Arabidopsis thaliana: one gene and its partners. The protein of the gene in region 2 interacts with the protein of the main gene of each other region in a pairwise test. Each region holds a gene or a part of one and is shown on either strand. Other genes may lie near its edges. The genes, in order: AT5G24050, AT1G70030, AT1G74120 and HSI2.

Region 1 (4,240 bases), on a different chromosome or scaffold from region 2:
CTTGAGAAGGTAGACACGGCTGCTCAAGATATGGCAATCATCACCACAACCGCCGGGATCAAGGGGAAGAGGACATCTAAGTGATGTCATGTGTCTGAATTTGAGGAGACTAGAGGATCGCCAAAAGGAACAAACTGACCGAAAGTGGATCAGATCAAAGGGATTGTCGATTTTAAGGGAGATCAAGTGGAGAATCTCCGGTGGCAACTCCGACCATTTTACCATTTTATTCTCTGAGTGATTATAGACTTGGTCTGATAATAATGTAGAGCTAAAAGCCTAAAACTAAACGTGTTGACTTTCTCTGTTGCTCTCTTGATTGAGGAAATGCGTTGACTTTATTACTTGACGTGTACTACAAGCTGTAACAATCCCTGCTTGTGTTCGATTCAGTTTTCTGAAAGTTTAACAAATTTGAGGAGAAATTCGAATGAGTGTATGATTATAGAGATCATTTTTTTTTTGTTTTTGCTTTCAAATTGCCTAACGGTTTTTTCAAAATCCGAAAATAACCAACACTTGATTGGTGTATTTTAAATAATCTATATGGATTTTTTTTTTTAATATGGATTTTCGAAACTATAATTCACCTAGGATTTGTATTTTTGTATTGTAGTTTCAGAATTTCTACATTAATCATAAACTGACAAGATCCTAGACAAGAAAACGAGATCTTATAGATGTGCGGAAGCGAAACGTTGTGTTTGCTATTAAGGCTGAGAAAATCGAGCTAATCAACGTCCAAGTACGGTGTACTTATTCAAGTGGCTGAAGAAGCAATTGTAGCAAAACCTGTCTTGGCAACAAATTTGGTTCCTGATTTGATCATTTTGCTCTTCATACTTGAGTTTCAAAATCAGATTCTTACTGAGTAGAACAAAACACAGGTTTTGATTGTATCGAGCATTTCTAATGAATGTATTAAAAACACTTTTATTGATTGGATCAATTTCATTAGACAAAATAAGACTTGGAGATATATTACAAGGAATCGAAAGGTAACAATGCAGTAACTAAAGTAGACCAAACAACAAACAAGATTCATGTCAAAAATGCTAAGTTTTCATACTATAGTACATACGGTTATAATGATCTGAAACAATATATGGAACAAGTTACTAATAAGGAACACTAATTTTCTTAATCAAACTCTTAGACAAAAAAGAAGTCCAGAATCTCCTGAAATTAGATCGCTGTGCGTGTTGATCAATCAAGTTATAGTCTCAACCGACACAAGAAACTTAGCAGAGACAGAGAGCAAGGGAAGAGCTACTCTGTTCCATGGCAAAGCAGAGGATTCCACAGCACCTAAACGACCAAAGAGTAATGTTGTCGCCTTCTTTCAATCTGTTAGCCTCAACGATGTCGTTCCACCCACAAATCAAATTGTAACTCCAGCTTCCTTTACCTGATTCCTTCTTCATCTCCCATCTCTTTAACATCACACCCCACTTTTTACACCGTTGATCCACGAGAATCGCTCCCACTCCAATCTTGTTATTGTTGTTGATGTCTTCGTTTATGATTATGGACTCCACAGACGTCAGGAAATCGTTTCGGAGTAAGTTGTTGAAAGGCATTGAGAGACGGTTCTTTGTTGGGTTTACATCAGTCACGAACAGAGTCTTCTCAAAGATCAATTTAGCGTCTTTGGCTTCTTTCATGTTTGTCATCACCTTGACAAGCCACTCAGGTGTCTCTCTCGCCGTTTGTGAAAAAGGAGCAACATTTGCTTTCTTGACTCCACCACTACGCTTCCTTTGTTCCACAGCACGTCTCTTGCGGCTTGTGTTCTCCATTAGGCACAAAGACATAGTACATGGGAAATTAGGGTTTGGTGGGTCTTTCGTCTCCGTCTTTTGGTACTCAGCCGTCTTGTGACCAAAGAGTCCGAGTGAAGAACAAGGTTCTGAACTAGGGTTTTGTAATGTTTTTGTCTCGGAATTAGCGGCAATGAAACATGAAGAGGATAGCCCTTGAAGATGGTTTTGTGGGTCTTCGATCTCAGAATCGGTAGGGAACTGGTTAAGATCGATAAGCGATGAAGAAGTAGAAACCCTAATAAGATTTTGTTGTCTCTTCACCAAAGACGATCTTGTTTTTCTCGGGAAGAGACAAAAGATTCTCTTCTGGAATTCTTCTTCTTCTTCAGAGACAATCTTACGACGTTGTTCTTCTTCTTCTTCTTCATATAACATAACCGCCGCATCAACCAGTACACAGAAATTCGACCACAGGTCTTTACCTGAAGCCGTGAGATGATCGTCATCATCGTGATAGATACTAGTCATTGTGAATTTTTGATAGAATCGAAAACTCAAGTTCTTCTGAGAGCAAATCGTGAGACACAAGGAAATTAGAGAATCTGAGAGAAACTGAGAATGAGAGAGTCTCTATTGCATTATATAATAATACTTGCGCTCTCTGCTTACATCAAATTTAGGGTTTCCTTTTTTCTTTGAGTTTAGTTGTTTAATTACTGTGATTAGTAACTAATTAGCCGTTGTCTGATTTTATTTTCGTTAATAGCTAACCTTATAATTACGATATAGTCCTTGTCTCGGTATTTCCTTTTTCTAGGTGTGTGAGAGTCTCTCATTCTCACTTTATGAATACAAATGTAATTAAACAACTAAACTAAGATACAATCTTTTGAAGTGGGTTTTATGAATGTAAAAAAGTTATTAGTGACAAAATACAAAAATAAGAGTTACGATAAAGAGATGAGATTTATGTAAAACTATTTGGACAGATCATATATTTATGTATAAATTGGGATAAATTTCAATGCTCTCTTAACCCAGAGACTTGAAGAATTAATAAGGTCTTCTGTATAAATTGTATAAACTATATTAACCCAGAGACTTGAAGAATTAATAAGTCTATTAACCCTTAGACTTGAAGATCATATATTTATGTATAAACAGTGTCAAGAATTAATTGGAAAACAATGAAACAACATGAGACCCCCCCCCCCCCCCCCCACACACACACACACACACCAATCTCCAATAAGCCAACCTTGAAATTGCTTGTCTGACCACAAACGATCTTTAACGTTAGCAGGAGTGTTAGTTCATGTCTGACTGGTGAGGGCACTTTCATTGATACACGAGAAATTGCAGTTTGAATATGTTTCTTGTAGCTACATTATTAAGACTCTAAGATTCCTTTTGATTCGTTTGTTTTGGTTTCTGCGGCTTGGAAGGTGTAGAAGCGAATAATAATTCTCTCAACTGTCCCTCAGCGTTGTGTTCTGATGTTGCCTGCAACACAGAGTTATCAGGCCGCATTAATCTAAGTGATATCGTATGTATTATCATTGTTCACTAATCAGAGTCTAAGAAGATAGAAAACGAAAATCGACATACCCTTATCGAGAATGCAAACCGTAATGTCTCAATTTGCATTCCTGAGCAAATCCTAAGGTCGAAACCAAGTGAATCTATCCCAATGAGCTTCACTTCCTACATTGTAACACCATATGGATATAATCATGATTGTCACAGTATAGTCGTGAAAGCTATACAACAACTTCGTTTTGAAATTCCAGTAATGTAACGTAAAGTTCCAGTTTCTTTACCTCTGCTTGAATCCCATTATTTCTCCAACACAGAGATCTGAGAGCTTCAGTTAGTTTATCGCCATCTTCTTCTAGACGAGTCAGTATACCATCTGATGCACAAGCAATAACATCAGGTTGTGCTTTCCTGACGTCTTCCACTTCCACTTCAGTCTGTTCAAAAGCAAAAATACACAACCAACCAAATGCATGAGCTAAAACTTCCATAGAGCCTTTTAAAGAGTATATATTAAAAAGGGAGAGGCTTTATCGTAACCTGATGCCCCTGTGCCGTGATGAGCTGGATTCTTATTATCTCCAGCTTGTAGTACTGTATAGCATTTCTCGAATTTTCAACATGCAATATCTCAGATTCATTCTCACCAATGCCTTCAAATATCTCTTCTGAGTTTTCTCTCTCCTTGTTTTTGTCAGTGCCTGTAGATATACAACCAGAGATATGTTTTTGGATATCTGAGTGATCTTCCACAATGACAGGACTCAAGAGCCCTTGGATAGCAAGGCCAGCGGACGGCTGATCCATCCAATTTACAGGATCAGTTGAAGCAACCTAAATTTCAATAAAGAAACTAAGTTTTATAGTCTTCACATGGTGGATATTTGATAAATCACAAATCAATTTTTGGACTGCAAGTAACCTCGGCCATCCTCCTGGCA
Region 2 (4,973 bases):
TTGAGATGCGGCGGTACGAAAAAAATTAAACAAATTAATGTGTGTTTCAAAATATTAATTATAGAATTCAACACTGTTTTCTTAGTTGATCTCTCTAATGCTACAAAATATTCTGAAGATTATAATATAAGGTGCTACTAAATTATCCATGGTATGATTCGTATATCCAACATTTTTTCTGTATTATTTAGAATTTTTAACAATTAATACTTTCTCCCTAAACAAAGTTTATAAAAATTTCACTCAAGTTTCACTATTGAACGAATTGGTAAACAAAAATAAATGTTTTGGCTATTTAAAAAAAAAAATTGGTGCGGTAAAGAATGGTAAAATTGTAGCGAGGTGATAATAGAAAGTTGTTAAGAAACATCTCAAATTACAGCATCTTGGCCGATAATAAAACTAATATACTATGTTTGATCATCATATGATTTATTTTTCGTTCTAGCCTGCTTCTTTGATTCGTAGCCAAACAAGCTGGAGCACTCCCAAAGTCCCGAGTCTTAACGTTTTATGGCCCATTAACGATCTAAAGCCCAACATAAAGAACCTATTTCTATCCTTTGAGAAGTTTTCTCTGTCCGACGATTCATAGCCAATTAACGCTAAGATTACTATTTGATTTAATCTAAAATATCTTTAGCGAAAAGAAAGTTATTTACCAAAATCTAAAAATTTATATGTAATTATCGAAATCTTTTTAAAAAATTTGATATGTAATTATCGAAATCTTCTTATAAGAACAATATACCAACTCTTTTCTTTAATAACCCTAACAAAAAAAAGATACATAAATCTGGTGCATATACACATCTCTCTATCCGTCTCTCTCTGGGTTTCAATGGATTATGAAAACGGAGAAATAATAGCTCCTAAATCCACCACTTTATGGGATAGACTTACACCACGACAAAAAAAGTATGTGTTCACGTGTGTCTTGGTTTTTTTGATCGCTATCGCAACCGCTGCAATTATCGTTTATGCCTACTCTGAATCAGCACAAGAACGACGTGAAAAACGGCGTAAAGAACAACGTATAGAAAACTATGCACCGGATATTATAATACCATCTATGGATTTCACAGTCCTTAATTTAACCGAGACTAGTCTTAGTGTTAAATGGGATTTAGTGATCAGGCTTCCTTCAGATCTTCCTGGTTACTATATGTGTCTCAAAGGAGATTTGCAGACTTTCATACTTTACAAAGGTGTTACCATTGCTAATTCATCCTTAGACAGGTTACACTTTTTAAAAATTTCAATACTCTTTTTTTTTTTTTTTCTTTAACTAATTTCGTTTGTTCATATATTTTTGTTTGAACTTTTTTGTGTTATGCTCTATCAGTTACAATCTGATACCAAATTGGCCTCAGCTGCTTAATACCTCATCGGTAATTGCTTCTGAGGGAGATATGGACAGTGTTGTTGTGAAAGACATTATGGACGATATAAAGGAAAGAAGAGACATGCGGTTCGGATCGAGGTTGCTTCTTCCGGATTGTAGATCTGGGAGGAAGATGAACTATACGTGTGATGAAACTGCGGTTCGGTTTGAGCCTGGCTCTCAAAGGAAGGCAACTGCGTTTGAAAACGCCGCTCCTATATGCCACTATATTCACACTTAAGTAAAATTTTCATCAATAATGATTTTTATGTTTTAGTTTGCATATGTTGGATCTTCTTCTTTTGCCTTTTGATATCGTAGGAAAGAACTTAAACAACACAATGCGCTTTTGTTTTTTTTTCCTTTGGCTTCAATGGAATATACTTTGTTCTAATGTATTATTATTTTCGTTAATAATTATACTCTCATAGTAAGATACTATTTTTTAAAAAGATTCTATTTAAACATATGGTACTACATCAATATCATAAGTTAATCATTACATCAACTTAAAAAATTTATTTAGTTAGTCTGTTTAACGTACCGAACCGATAATTAAATTTCGAAATCAAATCTACCGATTGGTTTGTATCTAATAACCAAACTAGAACCGATTTGCACAAACTTCGGTTTGGACTTATCAATTTTGTTTTTAATCTGAAGGCCTACTTTTTTCTTTCTATAAATATTGGATAAGACTCATAAAAGTAGTATTTGGTATATTAAGAAAAAGAGTAAAAAATCCATATAAAGGAGAGAAAATCGAATCGTTATGTTAACAAAAAGATTATGTTTAACGTACGTGATATTAAGTATCTTTATATGACTCATGTAGTTATTTATAAACCTAAAACCTTACGACTTTCTTTGTGTCAATTGTCAAGTCTTTTGTATCTTCCTGTAAGCCTGTTACGTGTGAGGTAACGTGTCCATCAATACTTGTGTCCTAGCGAACTTTGATCGATCCTCTTCACTTTGATCCTATCTTGTTTCTATACTGAAATTCTTAGATCAAAATATAGTGTGACATAATCTGAGGAGTAAGTTAGATTCAAATCTTCTGGTCGATAGCTGTAAATTCCCTTGCAATGTTTTCTATGACTCTAATTGCTAGATCTGCGCTGGTTGTATGAATTTTTGGGATAATTTCGATTATTTTTCTTTGAACTTATATATCTTGAATTCGTTTATTGAGATTTAAGACTTGTATTGATTTTCAAAGTTGTTTATATTGGGAGTCGAACATTAATCTATTTTCTCTTCCTCTGGATAATGAAGCACTTGCCAGTTGTCAGTTTCAAAACCATGGTTGCAAATAAGAAGCTAACTACAACCGATGCACTTGATTTCCTCCATCTTGTAAAAACTAAATATCAAGATAATCGTGAAATATATGATAGTTTTCTTACGATCATGAAGGATTTCAGAGGTCAGAGGTATTTTTTTTCTTCTTCTTCCCTCATAATAGTTTCAGCTCTTAGTTATATAAAGTTTTGGTAAACTGTTTTTTTTTTTTTTTACTAATTGTAGAGCTAAAACATGTGACGTCATATCAAAAGTGAAAGAACTCTTCAAAGGGCAACCAGAGCTTCTCTTAGGTTTCAACACATTCTTGCCAACGGGGTTTGAAATAACACTCAGTGATGACGAACTTACGTCAAATTCGAAGTTTGCTCACTTTGACGAAGCATATGAATTTGTCAACAAGGTCAAGGTAGTTGGGCAAAATCATACTAGTAATTAGAGTTTGATTATGATTATTTTGATCCAAAAGATCTAAAATCTAAATAAAAAACAGGTTTAGTCATTTAAATTTAGAGAGATGAATAAACTTGTTTAGATTTTAGTGTTAAAATTTAGGATATCAGATTTATCGTTTTAATTAAGGGTTAGTTTCGGTGTAAATATTTCGGTTTATATCATTTGTATTCTCTATTGCTGTTTATTTTGCAGCCCTACTAGAAATTATATTACTCTTTTCTGTACAATTTTTTTTTTTACTTTTCTCTTAAATATCATTTTTTCTGTAGACAAGATTTCAGAACAATGATGTATTCAACTCATTTTTAGAGGTTTTGAAAACGCATAAAAAGGAAAACAAGAGCGTTGCTGAGCTCTACCAGGAGGTGTATATATATATATGTTTCACTACCTTTTCTTTTTCCATCTTTCTTGTATTGGATTTAATGTAATGTATTATTTTGTAGGTGGCTATCCTTTTTCAAGGCCATCGAGACTTGCTTGAGGAATTTCATCTCTTTCTTCCACATTATGGATGAAGAATGATGAATTATGTATACAATGAAGCCATGCAAGTTGTGGTTCAAAGCCACTTTATCTGCTTCCATTTGACTCAATGGGGATTATCATTAGTTTGTTGCTGAACTGGTAAAACTAGTACTCAATTTTTCAAGTTGTTTTATACTATTTAAACTGAATATTATGGATAATACACAAATTATTTATCAATTTACTTAAGACAATATAATTATGCTTAGTGAGAATGTACCAAACCTTTTTTTTTGGGTTAAAGGTTGCTGCACTAATTAAAAGAACAAACGGCGAATTACAAATTCTCAAATAAACGACAACAAACCCGACACGGTACAAGAAGATAATTTGAACCAAACCATACAAACAAAAGAATATTGCCTAGGTGTTGAGGTGGCTCAACTGTGGAAGCCAAAGCTCTATCAGATGCAATGCTAACAAGAGAGAAGTCGAATGCAGGGAAGAAGCTATCAGATTTTAAAATCCAAGCTGATGCGTTTACTCATTTCATCTTTAATTGTGAGTTATTAATTTTGAAAACCAGACTTTTTTTGTAGGATAAAGAACTTTTACAACTTTTTTTCTATAACCCTTTTAATATATGGTTTTTATTTTACTTTATTTGTCTAAATTTCTTTTCTAATACAGTTACAAACTTTTATATTTTTATCTTAAATATTTCAAAACTTTTAGATTTTATACATGGTGAAATCTGATGATTTAATTGATATTTGTTGCAATCACGAGAGTTAGCAAGTTTGAGATTATTGTTTTGAAATAAGATATGGAGGATAAATTTATTTTAAAAAAGAGAGAGAAAAATGAAAAAATAAGAAAATACTTAATTATTGTTTTGAAATACTTTAATTAATTAAAAACAACTATATCTTTAACTAAATTTTAATAACATATCATATAATTAAGTATAGGTTAAAGTTCATTTTCTTAAAAATTATCTTTCCTTAACAACTATATCTTTATTAAACTGTCTCATCTTCCTTTTGCACTCCAAAATAGTTTCCTCGTTTCTCTTCAATCAATCACTTAGAATGGCAGACGAAGAACTATCTATAGGAGTGCGGATCTTCGTTTCTTTTCTCATAGCCTTTGGTATTTGTGGTCTGGTTTTGTTGATGATAAAAGACAATTCTGGCAAAATCCCGGTGCCGAAAATAGAGTTAGCTTCAATGGATTTCACGGTGCAAAATATTACAATGACTCGTCTTAATGCAAAATGGGATTTGTCGATAAGGATCCCTGATGATCTTCCTGGTAAGTATATATGTCTTCAAGGAGACCTTGAAGCTTCCTTGCTTTA
Region 3 (5,159 bases), 1.5 Mb from region 2:
CGTGTGCATCTCTGTTCCAGTCTGTTTATACTTTTAAAAAATAATTTAACTGGATGAGTGAAAAAACATACCAGCTTCCCAATGGGGACTTTTAATTGATCCTTAGGGACAACTCTTTGGCCCTGTATGATTGATTAACCAATAACAAAGGTAAAGCATTTCGTCTAAACCTCACAAACACATAGAGAACATGTACGTAGTACAAATGCACTGGAAAAACTACACATCTGTGGACCTAGCATGGTTAGGAAAATGAGAAAATTATGCTTGTTGCACTATACCTTGAGTGATATAACCGAGAGAGCATGACTACTCAAGAAGAAAACAGAGCCACCAAGTGCTCCAGCAAAGTAGAGCTTCAAAAGGTAGCGCGGCCCAAAGCTTCTTGCAATCTAAGAACAAATGGGATTCGATATAAAGATCAATAGGTAGCAAGTTTTTCTTTTTAAACGAACTAAGGACGGTCCTTAGATGAGCCAGATTAAGTGTAAGTAGCCGGTTCATACTTCATAGGAAACAAATGAAAGCATTTCTCATTTCGTTTACGAAAATTAATATATGGAAACAAGGAAAAAATCTTACTCTGGCTCCGAAGTAGCAAAGCCCCATCATATTCAAGATGATATGAGTGGCTCCAACATGACTGAAACCCGAAGTGATCAGCGTGTGTATACGTCCAGTCATAAAACTGTACCTTGATAACTGTCCAAATACCATATGGTTAATAATACATGTAGATTTTTTATTTTTAAAAAAGTTGTTAGAATTTGATGAGGTCAGACCATAAAATTCTTCACCATCCACATATTGTCCTTGCCTAAAACCCGCCACATTGTAAATACAGCAGCATTAGCTATTACCAATCCAAAAACTACACCATTAGCTCCATTAATCCAAGACTTCCTGCCAGAGTTAAACCAATAAAGTGGTTTTTTCTTTTTGGTATTAGTATCCAAAATCAAATGGAGCAGGTAAAGAATCTAAGATTTTTGATGTAGGAGAACAATTTTTTAAAGGAGAAGGTCTAAACAGTGTCCAGCTTGCTATTCTATGTCTTATCTATAAAGAGAAAAGCATCAAAAGAGCTTTGTGCTGCTCAAAATCAAGAACTACGCAGAAATGGAAGAAAAAAAAAGCCTACTAATTTCTCTGAATCCTGACACGTCTTTTACTTGGAAGAGCCAAACGTACAATTGACCAGAAAAGCTAAAGAGAGTTGTGAAAAAAGGTCGATGCTTTACCAAATAAATCCTGTCAAACCCAGAAATTTTATGGTGAAGACAAATTTATCTTTGAAAAATGTAGTTTTTACTTGGAAACAAATAGGTACAATATAAAACAGAGGACCATAGAGAAAGGGGAACTCAGAATTTTTCTTAGGAAAGGTTCCAACTTTACTTTGAAAAACAAAAAGGGAGAGGAAAAGAAACGATACCATCCACGTTTTTGAAACCCAGTAAAACCACCAGACTCGAATCCATGACTAGGAAGCTCAGAACTGAAGAACCCAGCTCTAGATTCCATAACATTTCCGAATTTCAGCTTCAGATTGGTGTTTCCCAACTTCCCTGCGAAGAATCCATGAACTCTCGCCGATCGTGATACAACATAAGGAGGAACAAAGCGGGAAGAGAGATCAAAAGGAAGAAGATGGCTCAGGGAATGGCGACTCTGGCTCGCCTGCTTCGTCACCAATTTGGTTAGCTGCGGGGAAGAGCAACCGACGGCGACCCTGCGACAGAAAATCGCATGCATTTCGAAACTAATTTCAAATGTTTTACCAAATGGCGCAAAAATAAGAGAATAGCATCAACTTCTTCTGATTATTCATGAAAAGTGTGTGTTTCAAAAACTCAGGTCTTTTAAGTGCAATAAAATAGTGATGTAAATGTAACAAGAAGTAACAACTTTCTTTTTTTAGGTAAACAAAAGATTCCCTCCGGTTTAGGGAAATTGTAAATATACAACTTCCAACTTTCATTAAACCATGACGTTCCCATCTCTAAACCACAATCCCACTCAAGACAAGGTTAAATGTCTTACAAAACAAATAGTGGGTGGCATTTTCGGAATAAGATGAAACATTGAGGGTACAAATAATAATCTTAATTTTGTACACGTCGTCATCGTCTTTCTTCCTCCTTCGTACAGTGATTGAGTGCCTTGAAACTAAATAAAAAAATGGCCTCAAAACTCAAAACCTTCATCAATCTCCGTGACTACCCAATAACCCTATTCAACCAGATTCGATCACTATCCTCACGAATTCTCACACCTATCAATCAATCTCACTACAGGAAACGAATTTTACTCGCGAATCTCCTTCAGAGGTATGGTTTCCCTCCTTCTTCTCTTCAGCACTTCCTCTCAAGAAACAATCACCTATTGAATTCGGACTTAGTAGAAACCGAAATTTCTCTCGGCATCCTATTGTCATTGAAAATCCCTCAGAAATCACTCGTTTCGTTGATTTCCGATTGCCCTAATGTTCTGCGATCAGAGTTTCTGAGGAAATGGAGAGTTCCTCTGTCTAATTGCGGTAAACACGGTGTCGTCTCATCTTCTGCGATTAAGAGCGTCCTTGAACATTCTAGTAGAATTGGGATTGGTCCAGATAAGTTTAATGAGTGCGTAAGGGTTTTGAAGAGTTTAGGGTTTTGTGATAGTACTGTGAGTAGGATTTTAAGTTCATTCCCTGGTGTTCTTTTAGTGAATGAGATTGAAATTCGTAGGAAGATTGAGTTTTTAGTTGGAATTGGCATTGCTCGAGATAACATTGAGAGGTTCTTTCACGTTTTTCCTGAAGTTCTAGGGATTGGTACTGAGACTAGACTTAAGCCATTGCTTGATGAGTTCATGAAGATGGGGTTTAGTAAGGATGATGTAAAGAAAGAGATTGCTAGAGAACCGAGAGTTCTTGGTTTGGAGTTAGGTGAGCTTCCGCGGTGTTTGGAGTTGATCAACACATTGAAATGCCGGGAAGTGATTAGAGTTAGTATAATCAGCGAAGGAGCATTTCGTGCTGGGTTTGAAGTGAAGCTCAGAGTTGATTGTTTATGCAAATACGGGTTGATTCGTAGAGATGCATTCAAGGTTGTATGGAAAGAGCCGAGGGTGATCTTATATGAGATAGAGGATATAGAGAAGAAGATTGAGTTTTTAACTAACAGAATGGGATTTCATATCAATTGTTTAGCTGATGTACCGGAGTATCTAGGGGTTAATCTTCAGAAGCAGATCGTTCCACGGTACAATGTCATTGATTACTTGAAACTAAAAGGTGGGCTTGGCTGTGATATTGGATTGAAAGGTTTGATCAAACCAAGCATGAAAAGATTTTATAATTTGTACGTGATGCCATACCCAGAGTGTGAAAGAATCTTTGGAAAGAGAAAAGAGAATGTCCGAGTGAATAAACGACATCCCGCAGGGCTTTGGAAGCTTATGAAGCCGCCTAGCAATCTAACAACAAAAGAAGATGTGCAGAACATGAAGTCCTTTATAGAGTCACTTGCTTAGTATGTTGGATCTTGGACTTGCCTCTTACTAGATTGAAAGAGATCGGCCACTCTCTAGAGGGTTCTTGCTCCCTCACTTTGCTATGAGCTGCTCTGAATTGATATGGGTTATCAGGAACTTTCAGTGACTATCGAATCTGATCTCAACTCGCTCGAGTTCATGGCTTGATTATTCAAAGGACAATGCATACTCCTGAATAAGCCATGCTCACTTCTCGTTGTGCATCTTGGGAAGACATCTACCAATGCCATTGCCTTCGTTTCCATGTCTCTGCCTGATAGATTTGCTGAGCAAATGTAATTGGACTTTGGTTCTAAAAAGTCAAGTGCCATGTTCCAACTTCCAACTGTAACTACTAGTTAGGGATGTTACGTGGGCCGAGCCAGGCCGGCTAGTAGCCCGTTTTGGCAACTTTTATGCTAGGCCGATTCATCTGTTCCGTGATCCATCCCAGACAAACCATTTGTTTTTGGCATTTATACCAAAAATATTTGTTTCCAACAATTTTTTTTCTTAAACATTATTTTCAAATGTTTTACGTAAAAGCTCTGTTAACAAGAAACTTAGATTTATGTATGGAAGAATTGGTTATACATGAGTCAGTAAGTCATGAAATCTGTATAATGGGAAGAAGTTAATCAGTTAAATCTTATTTATTCCAAGAGGGTGATTGGAGAAAAAAAGAAGAAGAAGAGAGTTATTGGTAACTAGTGTTATTTATGTATTAATGAAGAAGAGAGTTATTGGTGTTATATATGTATTAATCAATCACAAATTGTACTACTAGTTAATTATGTAAGTAAAATCAATTGAAATGCAATATTAAATTTCCATGAAGATTTTAATTATAGAGAAAATTAAACTTTTCTATACATAGATAGATTACATGGTTCAATAAAAATTATTGTGAATAACAAGAAGTATTTAAAAAACGAAACTTATACTCTAAAAAAAAAAAAAAAAAAAAGACCAAGTGTTAAAAGGCTTGTAATGTAAGAAGCGACAGTTGGTCAAATAACATCTTTGACTTGGTCAACGTATTTTAACAACGGTTTTCTGTTAGAAATGGACTAATAGTATTAACTTACAAAAGACACACCCGATTTGTGAGTTGTGACATTTGCTTTGTCCTTAAGTATCACCACAAGCCAGCTTATATTGTCTCTATAGTTAGACAACCTTTGACCTTATTATACATACGTATATATGGAGCTTTTTTTTCAATTTCATATGGCATATATTTGTGTCACTGTGTGTGTGGTATCAATGTTCAAGGGAGACAGTTTTGTGGTTAACGAGGTCGATGCTTTGTTTGGTCCATACCCTGCATCGTCCATGGCCACCATATTACTATGTTTCGTGACGTAATTGATGATATGTATATCAAATTTCAACTCAAACTAGTTGAATATGAATGATGCAATTATGCACATTGATTTACAGGCCAGCGCTGGATTTAATATCCATTGAGCAAGTTATGAGAAAACAGTGGTCAATTAGTCAATTACCATTAAGTTCTTTTGAAGAGTCCAATATGGAACAAGATCAAACAAATTATGAGACTACAAAGACTTATGAGTTTATAACCAACTGAATTAAATTTCTATAAACAGACTCTTCCCTCTTGCACCTACTTCATC
Region 4 (8,223 bases), on a different chromosome or scaffold from region 2:
AAAAAAAAAATCTTCAAGATCACGAGTTTGAATACCAATGACAAAACAATAACTCTTTAACATGTTTTGGTCCCGAGTGTGAATTAAGAATATTGCAGCTTATGTTTTTGGTTAAAAGAGAAAAGAAGAAAGGTGAATCAAGAATATTGCGGCTGTTTGTTTCTCATGTGCAACATGTGTGGTACGAGATTGATGATTCTTGTTACGTTAGCCAACATCGCGTGATGACAACTATTCTAAGACGAGGTTTCACATGGCCGAAACATTAAAGCTTCGCTTAATCATATCAAACTCCAGAATTTAGTATACTTGATCATTATTTAGTATGCAATTATGCATGTAGTTCAAACTAATCATTGGATTGGATGTATTAGTCTAGATTTCAAACGTAATTTTTTTCCAAGGTTATGCTGATTTATATGTTTGTGACTTATCCGAATGTTTTTAACAACCAATATACAAATATTCGAAATTTGAGAATCATCATATCCTATTATCCTCACTACCAGTTAAAAAATGTCATTTGTGGAATTATATGGAAACACAATAGGTGAAAAAAGAAGAAGTTCATTACGTGCTTTGAATTTTATAGTTGAATTTCTATTTCAGTTTTATAATCCAGTTGTACTTGTATGATGCGAATCTAATCTAGTGGTTCGGACTATCCAAGTCAGTTTCATGAATTAAATTATGGGGGAAAAATAAAACTATTTATTACAAGGATAAGGGCAAAGTGGCCCTAAGTTGATTATATATCTCTTTTGCATGGTAAAAGATTATTTCCACATATGAAAATATGCAAAAATCCAAAAAAGGATTATGTCTATATATTTTGCTGTCAACAAGAAAATTCCATAAGTGTATAATGAAATTTAGGATAATACATAGAATACCACTCTTTTTACCAGACGGCGACATTTTACACTGAGTTAAAACTTATAAGTTTTTTACTCGTTCCAACAGTAGTCAATTACTCGATAGGTGTTACAAGCCTAGCTATATATAAGGTCAAAAAAGGGAGTGAAAAAACGTAGTAACTTAATAGTAGCTCGTTGATAATATAGAAGATTCCACCCAAAAGAGAGCGATTCCAAAAGATATGGTGTCATTTTAGTTAGATTTAAATTTGAACTAATTAGATAGAAAAGATTAAAGATTTAATGGGAAATACGAAGTGAATAGAGCATGCATGAGTAAAAGTTAGAACAAATAGATGATATATTCTTGGGTAGTAACGTGTTATTTGACAGAAAATCACATGCATATATAAAATCGTGTGAACACTTATACTGTATGTTTATCATGCGCATGGACTATTGGACTCCATAAATAGCAAGGTTATGGTTAAATGTAGTAAAATGGCAAAAAAAAAAACATAATATATTATATATATATATATATATTCAATTAACTACAAATCCTTCAAAAGTATTAACAAAAAATAAACAAATCCTACAAAATATATTGTGTTGATTTTTTGCATATTTCTTTTTGTCGATGGTATTTTCTTCAGTGTAGGAAAAAAAAATTCAATTTAAGCAAGAATGAATTTTTAGTTTATATTCCACCAATTCTTCCCATTTCGTTTGCAAGTTCTCTATAAATTTGGTATCTTATTTTGGAATATATATTCTACCATAAGACTACATGTTTGATATGAATCGTCAATTTTTACTTATCTATCGGTCTCAATCCACTCTAAGTTTTAGGGTATTCGGAACTCAAATTTGGTTAGAATACATATACAGAGAATGACGACAGGTAGAGTATATAGCATATACATGTACGCGATCGCAAATTTCTATTATAATCTTTAATTAGATAAGTAGAATTTATGTACTATTATTTTCTTTTCTTAGGATAATTTTTATAACTTTTACAAACTTAAATTAAAATGATTTCTTAGAGTAATTGACAATAACAAACCAAGAAAGTCAAAAGAGAAAAAGAAGAACCTCAAAGTCTTTTGTGCATGTGTGTGTTAGTGTCATGCATGCACTCTATATATTTATGATTTGCAAAAAGAAACATATATGTTTCTATTGAATAATTCTTTCTTTTCTTGATGAAATAATCAATATTTCCTTATATAAATAATACCCCAACTGTAGAAAGGAAAATACCTATAAATTAGTTGAATACATATAACCAAATATTAAAATTACGTCACCATACTATTTTTTTTCCAAAATATATGATTCCTACCAACCCTAAATTTCATTTCTATATATATTATATACCAAAAAAACATATCTTAACAAAGTCAAAAAAAAACCAAAGTCTTTCACTTTGTGTCTGTTCTAAATCTCTGCGAGTTTTCTTACTTTTCGAGTTTTGTGTGTGTCTTCAAGTGTCGTGCATGCATTTTATGCGTTTCGTTCACTTGCATGCTCTCTCCCTCTTTCTCTCTCTATCTCACCCATAAAAGTTTTAATTTTTCACATCGATAAATTAAATTGAAACAAAAAAAAAAATTCACCCAAAAAAAAAAAACCTCGTTGCCTTCTTCTTCGCCGTTACAGTCCTCTTTCTTTCTTCAATTCGCCGTCAAAATCTTCTCTTTCTCTTCCCCCGCCGGTCCTTCACCAATCCTCTGATCTCTCTACACACGAACCTTTGATTTTGACCAACGTCGATGCATGTTCATGACTAGTCTCTTCCTCAATCCTTCAATTTCATCAATTCACGTCGATTTCGTATCCGATTCGTTGTTCTAGCTCTTTGTGTGGTGTTAGGGTTTTAAGATTTTGGAATTGGGGTTTGGAGTTTGTGATGTTTGAAGTCAAAATGGGGTCAAAGATGTGCATGAACGCTTCATGTGGTACGACTTCTACTGTTGAATGGAAGAAAGGTTGGCCTCTTCGATCTGGTCTTCTCGCTGATCTCTGTTATCGTTGCGGGTATTTCTCAATCTCTCTAATTTCCTATTCTAAACTCCAAATTTCGTTTGATTTTTGACTAAAGTCTCGATCTTTTCGTGACCCTCTTCTTGATTCTCTGTTTAGCTCTTAGTTTGTTCATGTTCTGTTTTTTTGACTACGTATATGGTTTCTTAGTGCGAATCTTGACTCTTTTAATCTATAAATAGGGAAAAAATATGTGACTTTGGTACATAAAAGGAAAAAAATTGAGACTTTGGTTGTAATGATTTTGTTATAGATCTGCGTATGAGAGTTCTCTATTCTGTGAACAATTTCATAAGGACCAATCTGGTTGGAGGGAATGCTATTTGTGTAGCAAGGTGCGTTTTTTGAAACTGTGTGAATATGTTTGTTTTTTCTATATATAGAGTTTAGTGGTGATGTTTTGTTGTTCTGATTGAGATTCTGTGATGACAGAGACTACATTGTGGATGCATTGCTTCTAAGGTAACGATTGAGTTAATGGACTATGGTGGTGTTGGTTGTAGTACATGTGCTTGCTGCCATCAACTCAATTTGGTGAGTTTTTACTAGACTCGGTTCAGCGTATTCGAGTATATTATATGTAAGTTGTTGTTGTAAGGATTCTGTCTTCACGTTTTTCAGAACACAAGGGGTGAGAATCCAGGTGTTTTTAGCAGATTGCCAATGAAAACGTTAGCTGATAGGCAACATGTAAATGGCGAAAGCGGAGGAAGAAACGAAGGCGATCTCTTTTCTCAGCCACTAGTCATGGGCGGAGATAAAAGGGAAGAGTTCATGCCTCACCGTGGGTTTGGTAAGCTAATGAGTCCAGAAAGTACAACCACCGGGCATAGGCTGGATGCTGCTGGGGAAATGCATGAATCATCACCTTTACAGCCATCTTTAAATATGGGTTTGGCTGTGAATCCGTTTAGCCCATCTTTTGCAACCGAGGCTGTCGAGGGAATGAAACACATCAGTCCTTCTCAGTCCAACATGGTCCATTGCTCTGCTTCTAATATACTGCAAAAGCCATCAAGACCTGCTATTTCAACTCCTCCTGTGGCTAGTAAATCCGCTCAGGCGCGGATTGGAAGGCCTCCTGTCGAAGGGCGAGGGAGAGGCCACTTGCTTCCGCGGTATTGGCCAAAATATACGGATAAAGAGGTTCAGCAGATCTCTGGAAAGTATCCTTTATTTGCTTCTAGTACTTTTGCCAAATATTTTATTCTGGACAGACTTCTGGTGACTCATTGTTTATCTTAACAAATTCTAGTTTGAATTTGAACATTGTACCTCTCTTTGAGAAAACTCTTAGTGCCAGTGATGCTGGTCGCATTGGTCGTCTAGTTCTTCCAAAAGCCTGTGCAGAGGTAAATTTCCCATTCCTATGGTGATGTCTTTTCTTGTCCTTGAAATATTTTGTAGAGTTATGACTGATGTCTGCATTGGTATATAGGCATATTTTCCTCCGATTAGTCAATCCGAAGGCATTCCTTTGAAAATCCAAGATGTGAGGGGTAGGGAGTGGACGTTCCAGTTCAGATATTGGCCCAATAACAATAGTAGAATGTATGTTTTAGAAGGTGTCACTCCATGCATACAGTCCATGATGCTACAGGCTGGTGATACAGGTACTTTTAATATAGTTCATGTCTTAGCTAAAGCTTCAAGCATTTGCTGGTTTTAACATCAAATTTTCATGAACCATTTTCTAAAACTATTGTTGGTTTTCTGTGTTTTTCACCTCTACAGTAACTTTCAGTCGGGTTGATCCTGGCGGAAAACTAATCATGGGTTCCAGGAAGGCAGCTAATGCTGGAGACATGCAGGTTGGGGTTTCTATGAACTGGTTTCTGTAGGAATGTGCTGGTTTTTATTTTCTGCTTAGCTCCATTCTTATCCGGTTACAATATTTATAAATAGGGTTGTGGGCTCACCAACGGAACATCAACTGAGGACACATCATCGTCTGGTGTAACAGAAAACCCACCCTCCATAAATGGTTCCTCGTGTATTTCACTAATACCGAAAGAGTTGAATGGTATGCCTGAGAATTTGAACAGTGAGACTAACGGGGGCAGGATAGGTGATGATCCTACACGAGTTAAAGAGAAGAAGAGAACTCGAACCATTGGTGCAAAAAATAAGAGACTTCTTTTGCATAGTGAAGAATCTATGGAGCTGAGACTCACTTGGGAAGAAGCTCAGGACTTGCTTCGTCCCTCTCCTAGTGTAAAGCCTACCATCGTTGTCATTGAGGAGCAAGAAATTGAAGAATATGACGTACGTGGTAGATCATGTTGTTTTTTACAACCATTTGATTAACCCTTAACTTGATCCTTGGTTAAGTCATAGTTCATGTTAATGTTATACACAGGAACCTCCTGTCTTTGGAAAGAGGACTATAGTCACTACAAAACCTTCAGGGTTAGTTATTTCTTTCACTTCTCAAGTAAAAAAATAAAATGAATGGCAACGTATCTTCTCCTATAGTTTACTTCCATACTTGCAAATGATTTACTAACAAATTTCTTTGTGGTCCAGTGAACAGGAACGATGGGCAACTTGCGACGACTGCTCTAAATGGAGAAGGTTACCTGTAGATGCTCTTCTTTCCTTTAAATGGACATGTATAGACAATGTTTGGGATGTGAGTAGGTAAGAACTTTCACAAGTCTTTTCTTTAATCTCATGATCGCTTAAATCGAAGATCATTTAGAGTTTTTTTTTTTCTCCCTAGTGTCCTGTCACTGTAATTAATAATATATTCATTGATAGGTGTTCATGTTCTGCACCGGAGGAGAGTCTGAAGGAACTTGAGAATGTTCTTAAAGTAGGAAGAGGTATGAAATCTTTTATTTCCTGGCCTCTCATGGTTCTTTCTCATTATCTAGACTGCTTCCAAGTAGTTGTGACTTCTGAGCAATTTATGGTTTGGCGTTCATATAAAACATTCAGGATATGTATCTGTTATTTGTGCATGTTGCGCCTTCCTTATGTTAGAATTTTATCAAAATATGGATTGTTTGCTTGGTATCCTGCAAATTTGTTTCTGAACGCAGCTTACTTTTCATAATCTCAGCTTATTGAGAATCTCAAGACACTAACTGTATGCATATATATATAGAGCACAAGAAGAGAAGAACTGGGGAAAGCCAGGCAGCAAAAAGTCAGCAAGAACCGTGTGGTTTGGACGCACTGGCGAGTGCAGCAGTCTTAGGAGACACAATAGGCGAGCCAGAGGTAGCGACCACGACCAGACATCCAAGGCACAGGGCTGGATGCTCTTGCATCGTGTGCATTCAGCCACCAAGTGGGAAAGGTAGGCACAAGCCTACATGTGGCTGCACTGTGTGTAGCACCGTGAAGAGAAGGTTCAAGACGCTTATGATGAGGAGGAAGAAGAAGCAGTTGGAGCGCGATGTAACAGCAGCAGAAGATAAGAAGAAGAAGGACATGGAACTGGCTGAGTCTGATAAGAGTAAGGAGGAGAAGGAAGTGAACACAGCGAGAATAGACCTGAACAGTGATCCATACAATAAAGAAGATGTTGAAGCTGTTGCGGTGGAGAAAGAAGAGAGTCGAAAAAGAGCAATAGGACAGTGTTCGGGCGTGGTGGCTCAAGACGCCAGTGATGTTTTAGGAGTTACAGAGTTAGAAGGAGAGGGTAAGAATGTTCGTGAAGAGCCGAGAGTTTCAAGCTGATATGGAAGGAAAAAGGGAAAGGGTAAAAGCCAAAGTCATAGCCAGTTTTATTAATATGCTGAGACCAAGAGTAGGAGAAGAAGAAGAGAAAGAGAGAGAGAGAGAGAGAGAGAGAAGTACAGTTTTGTGTTTGATTCTGTCATAGTTGTAGGAAAAATAAGTTTCTGGTTCTAAACAGCGACAATGTCCCATCTTTTGTTTTTTGTTTTTGTTTTTGTATTTTTATGGTATCGTGTTGAGTTTGGGGTTTATAGTATGTCTCCATTAATCTAGGTTTTGTTGTAGAAGGCAAATGGAGCTTTGTGCTTGGTGATGAAACAGTTGAGTTGATTTTTTTTTTTGTAATTGTTTTCAACCAAATGCCTAGTTGGTTTAATTTTTTTAAAAGTTGTTTCTTATAATATTGTTAAACACAAATTATGACAGTTGTTGAAAACTGCATGAAGTAGACTTGTAAATGGTATAAGGAGATTAATTAAGAGGTTAAATCATTTTACCAAAAACAATTACGATAAAACCTCTACAAATTAATAATATTAGAAACGAAAAATTCTATATATTCATAAATATATTAATTTATCGATAATTTTAATAATTATTAATTTATAGTGAGGTTTACTAATTTTGTAATTAAAAAAATAATATCTAAAAAACAATTTTTTCTTTACAATCAATATATTTCTAAAACAGTTACAAGTAGAAAAACAATAATAAGTTTAGAATAAAAAAACAACATAAACTTTTTTACATGTAGTAAGCATATTTGAAATGAACTCTACCAGAATTAATATTAACTTAAGAAAAACAAACAATATTAAGTCATACTACACTAAAGTTTTTACATATAATATATATATATATATGATGTCATATATAAAATACTATTATATATTATAAATATTAAGTTGTATATATAGCAATAAGTTTAACAATTGTTAATTTATGATATGATGAGATAATATGTTTACATAGAATTTTCAAAAATGACTTCTTAAAATTATTTTATTGATTTATATCATTTATGTCATAAAAAATTATTAATATATAAAAAATAATAATTCATCGATTATTAATTGATTGAAGTTTTACGTTTATTGAACTAATTTTGTACATGGTACTTCGCTCTTGGTCCTCATCCATTACCGATAGGATAGAGATATGTTACTACATGATTTAATGGCTAAACAAAGATACTTTCGGTTTCTTCGGAAAAATCTAATTTCAAAAGAACCGTCTACTTTTACTTTAGGTAAGTATGTATTCTTGAAAAAAATTTGATTTCGTATCAAAGTTAAAGGAACCTAGATTTCGACATTAGGTAAGTGTGCATTACTTTGTTTTTGCTTTATAACTTTGCATCATCAATTTTTCAATTTGATAAACTAATTTTGTTTTTCAGGTGTCGATTTCATCCGAATGAATAAGATTATAATTAATGTGGCCACCTTTAATATATGATTTAACTTCTTCAATAATCTCTTTATACAAATTATGAGCTTAGATTGAACTACGAGGCACTTAAATTGAACTAATTATGTGTTTGAAAAAAACTTAAATACCACATGCAAAAAGTTTAGTTTTATTTTAAACTTTTAAGCAATTATGAGCTACTTCTCAACTGTCCATTTAA

The links.
Region 1: the proteins of AT1G70030 (region 2) and AT5G24050 interact in a two-hybrid assay, tested with the Arabidopsis thaliana proteins (one large-scale study listed by BioGRID).
Region 3: the proteins of AT1G70030 (region 2) and AT1G74120 interact in a two-hybrid assay, tested with the Arabidopsis thaliana proteins (one large-scale study listed by BioGRID).
Region 4: the proteins of AT1G70030 (region 2) and HSI2 interact in a two-hybrid assay, tested with the Arabidopsis thaliana proteins (one large-scale study listed by BioGRID).

Annotation. Positions count from the first base shown.
Region 1 is NC_003076.8:8,127,112-8,131,351, forward strand, and holds AT5G24050 (plant-specific B3-DNA-binding domain protein (DUF313)), read right to left. Parts: upstream 2,292-4,240; coding exon 1,242-2,291; downstream 1-1,241. Other genes in the region: AT5G24040 (F-box SKIP23-like protein (DUF295)), read right to left, coding at 1-225; AT5G24060 (Pentatricopeptide repeat (PPR) superfamily protein), read right to left, coding at 3,162-3,266, 3,372-3,467, 3,584-3,736, 3,840-4,133, 4,222-4,240.
Region 2 is NC_003070.9:26,376,529-26,381,501, forward strand, and holds AT1G70030 (Paired amphipathic helix (PAH2) superfamily protein), read left to right. Parts: upstream 1-2,112; 5' UTR 2,113-2,304; intron 2,305-2,327; exon of another isoform or gene 2,328-2,656; coding exon of another isoform or gene 2,657-2,689; coding exon 2,690-2,820; intron 2,821-2,914; coding exon 2,915-3,098; coding exon of another isoform or gene 3,099-3,128; exon of another isoform or gene 3,129-3,136; intron 3,137-3,414; coding exon 3,415-3,510; intron 3,511-3,591; coding exon 3,592-3,663; 3' UTR 3,664-3,851; downstream 3,852-4,973. Other genes in the region: AT1G70020 (transmembrane protein, putative (DUF1163)), read left to right, coding at 842-1,239, 1,346-1,625; AT1G70040 (transmembrane protein, putative (DUF1163)), read left to right, coding at 4,705-4,973.
Region 3 is NC_003070.9:27,870,283-27,875,441, reverse strand, and holds AT1G74120 (Mitochondrial transcription termination factor family protein), read left to right. Parts: upstream 1-2,109; 5' UTR 2,110-2,181; coding exon 2,182-3,519; 3' UTR 3,520-4,268; downstream 4,269-5,159. Other genes in the region: AT1G74130 (Rhomboid-related intramembrane serine protease family protein), read right to left, coding at 72-122, 282-392, 583-702, 783-903, 1,436-1,755. UniProt on the Arabidopsis thaliana protein: Transcription termination factor required for mitochondrial NAD2 intron 3 splicing and normal membrane respiratory chain Complex I activity. Essential for normal plant growth and development. Binds to RNA but not to double-stranded DNA.
Region 4 is NC_003071.7:12,979,274-12,987,496, reverse strand, and holds HSI2 (B3 domain-containing transcription repressor VAL1), read left to right. Parts: upstream 1-2,219; 5' UTR 2,220-2,772; coding exon 2,773-2,900; intron 2,901-3,159; coding exon 3,160-3,241; intron 3,242-3,338; coding exon 3,339-3,440; intron 3,441-3,527; coding exon 3,528-4,072; intron 4,073-4,161; coding exon 4,162-4,258; intron 4,259-4,344; coding exon 4,345-4,519; intron 4,520-4,640; coding exon 4,641-4,717; intron 4,718-4,811; coding exon 4,812-5,171; intron 5,172-5,265; coding exon 5,266-5,315; intron 5,316-5,432; coding exon 5,433-5,546; intron 5,547-5,666; coding exon 5,667-5,731; intron 5,732-6,015; coding exon 6,016-6,593; 3' UTR 6,594-7,069; downstream 7,070-8,223. UniProt on the Arabidopsis thaliana protein: Transcriptional repressor of gene expression involved in embryonic pathways, such as LEC1, ABI3, and FUS3. Repressor of the sugar-inducible genes involved in the seed maturation program in seedlings.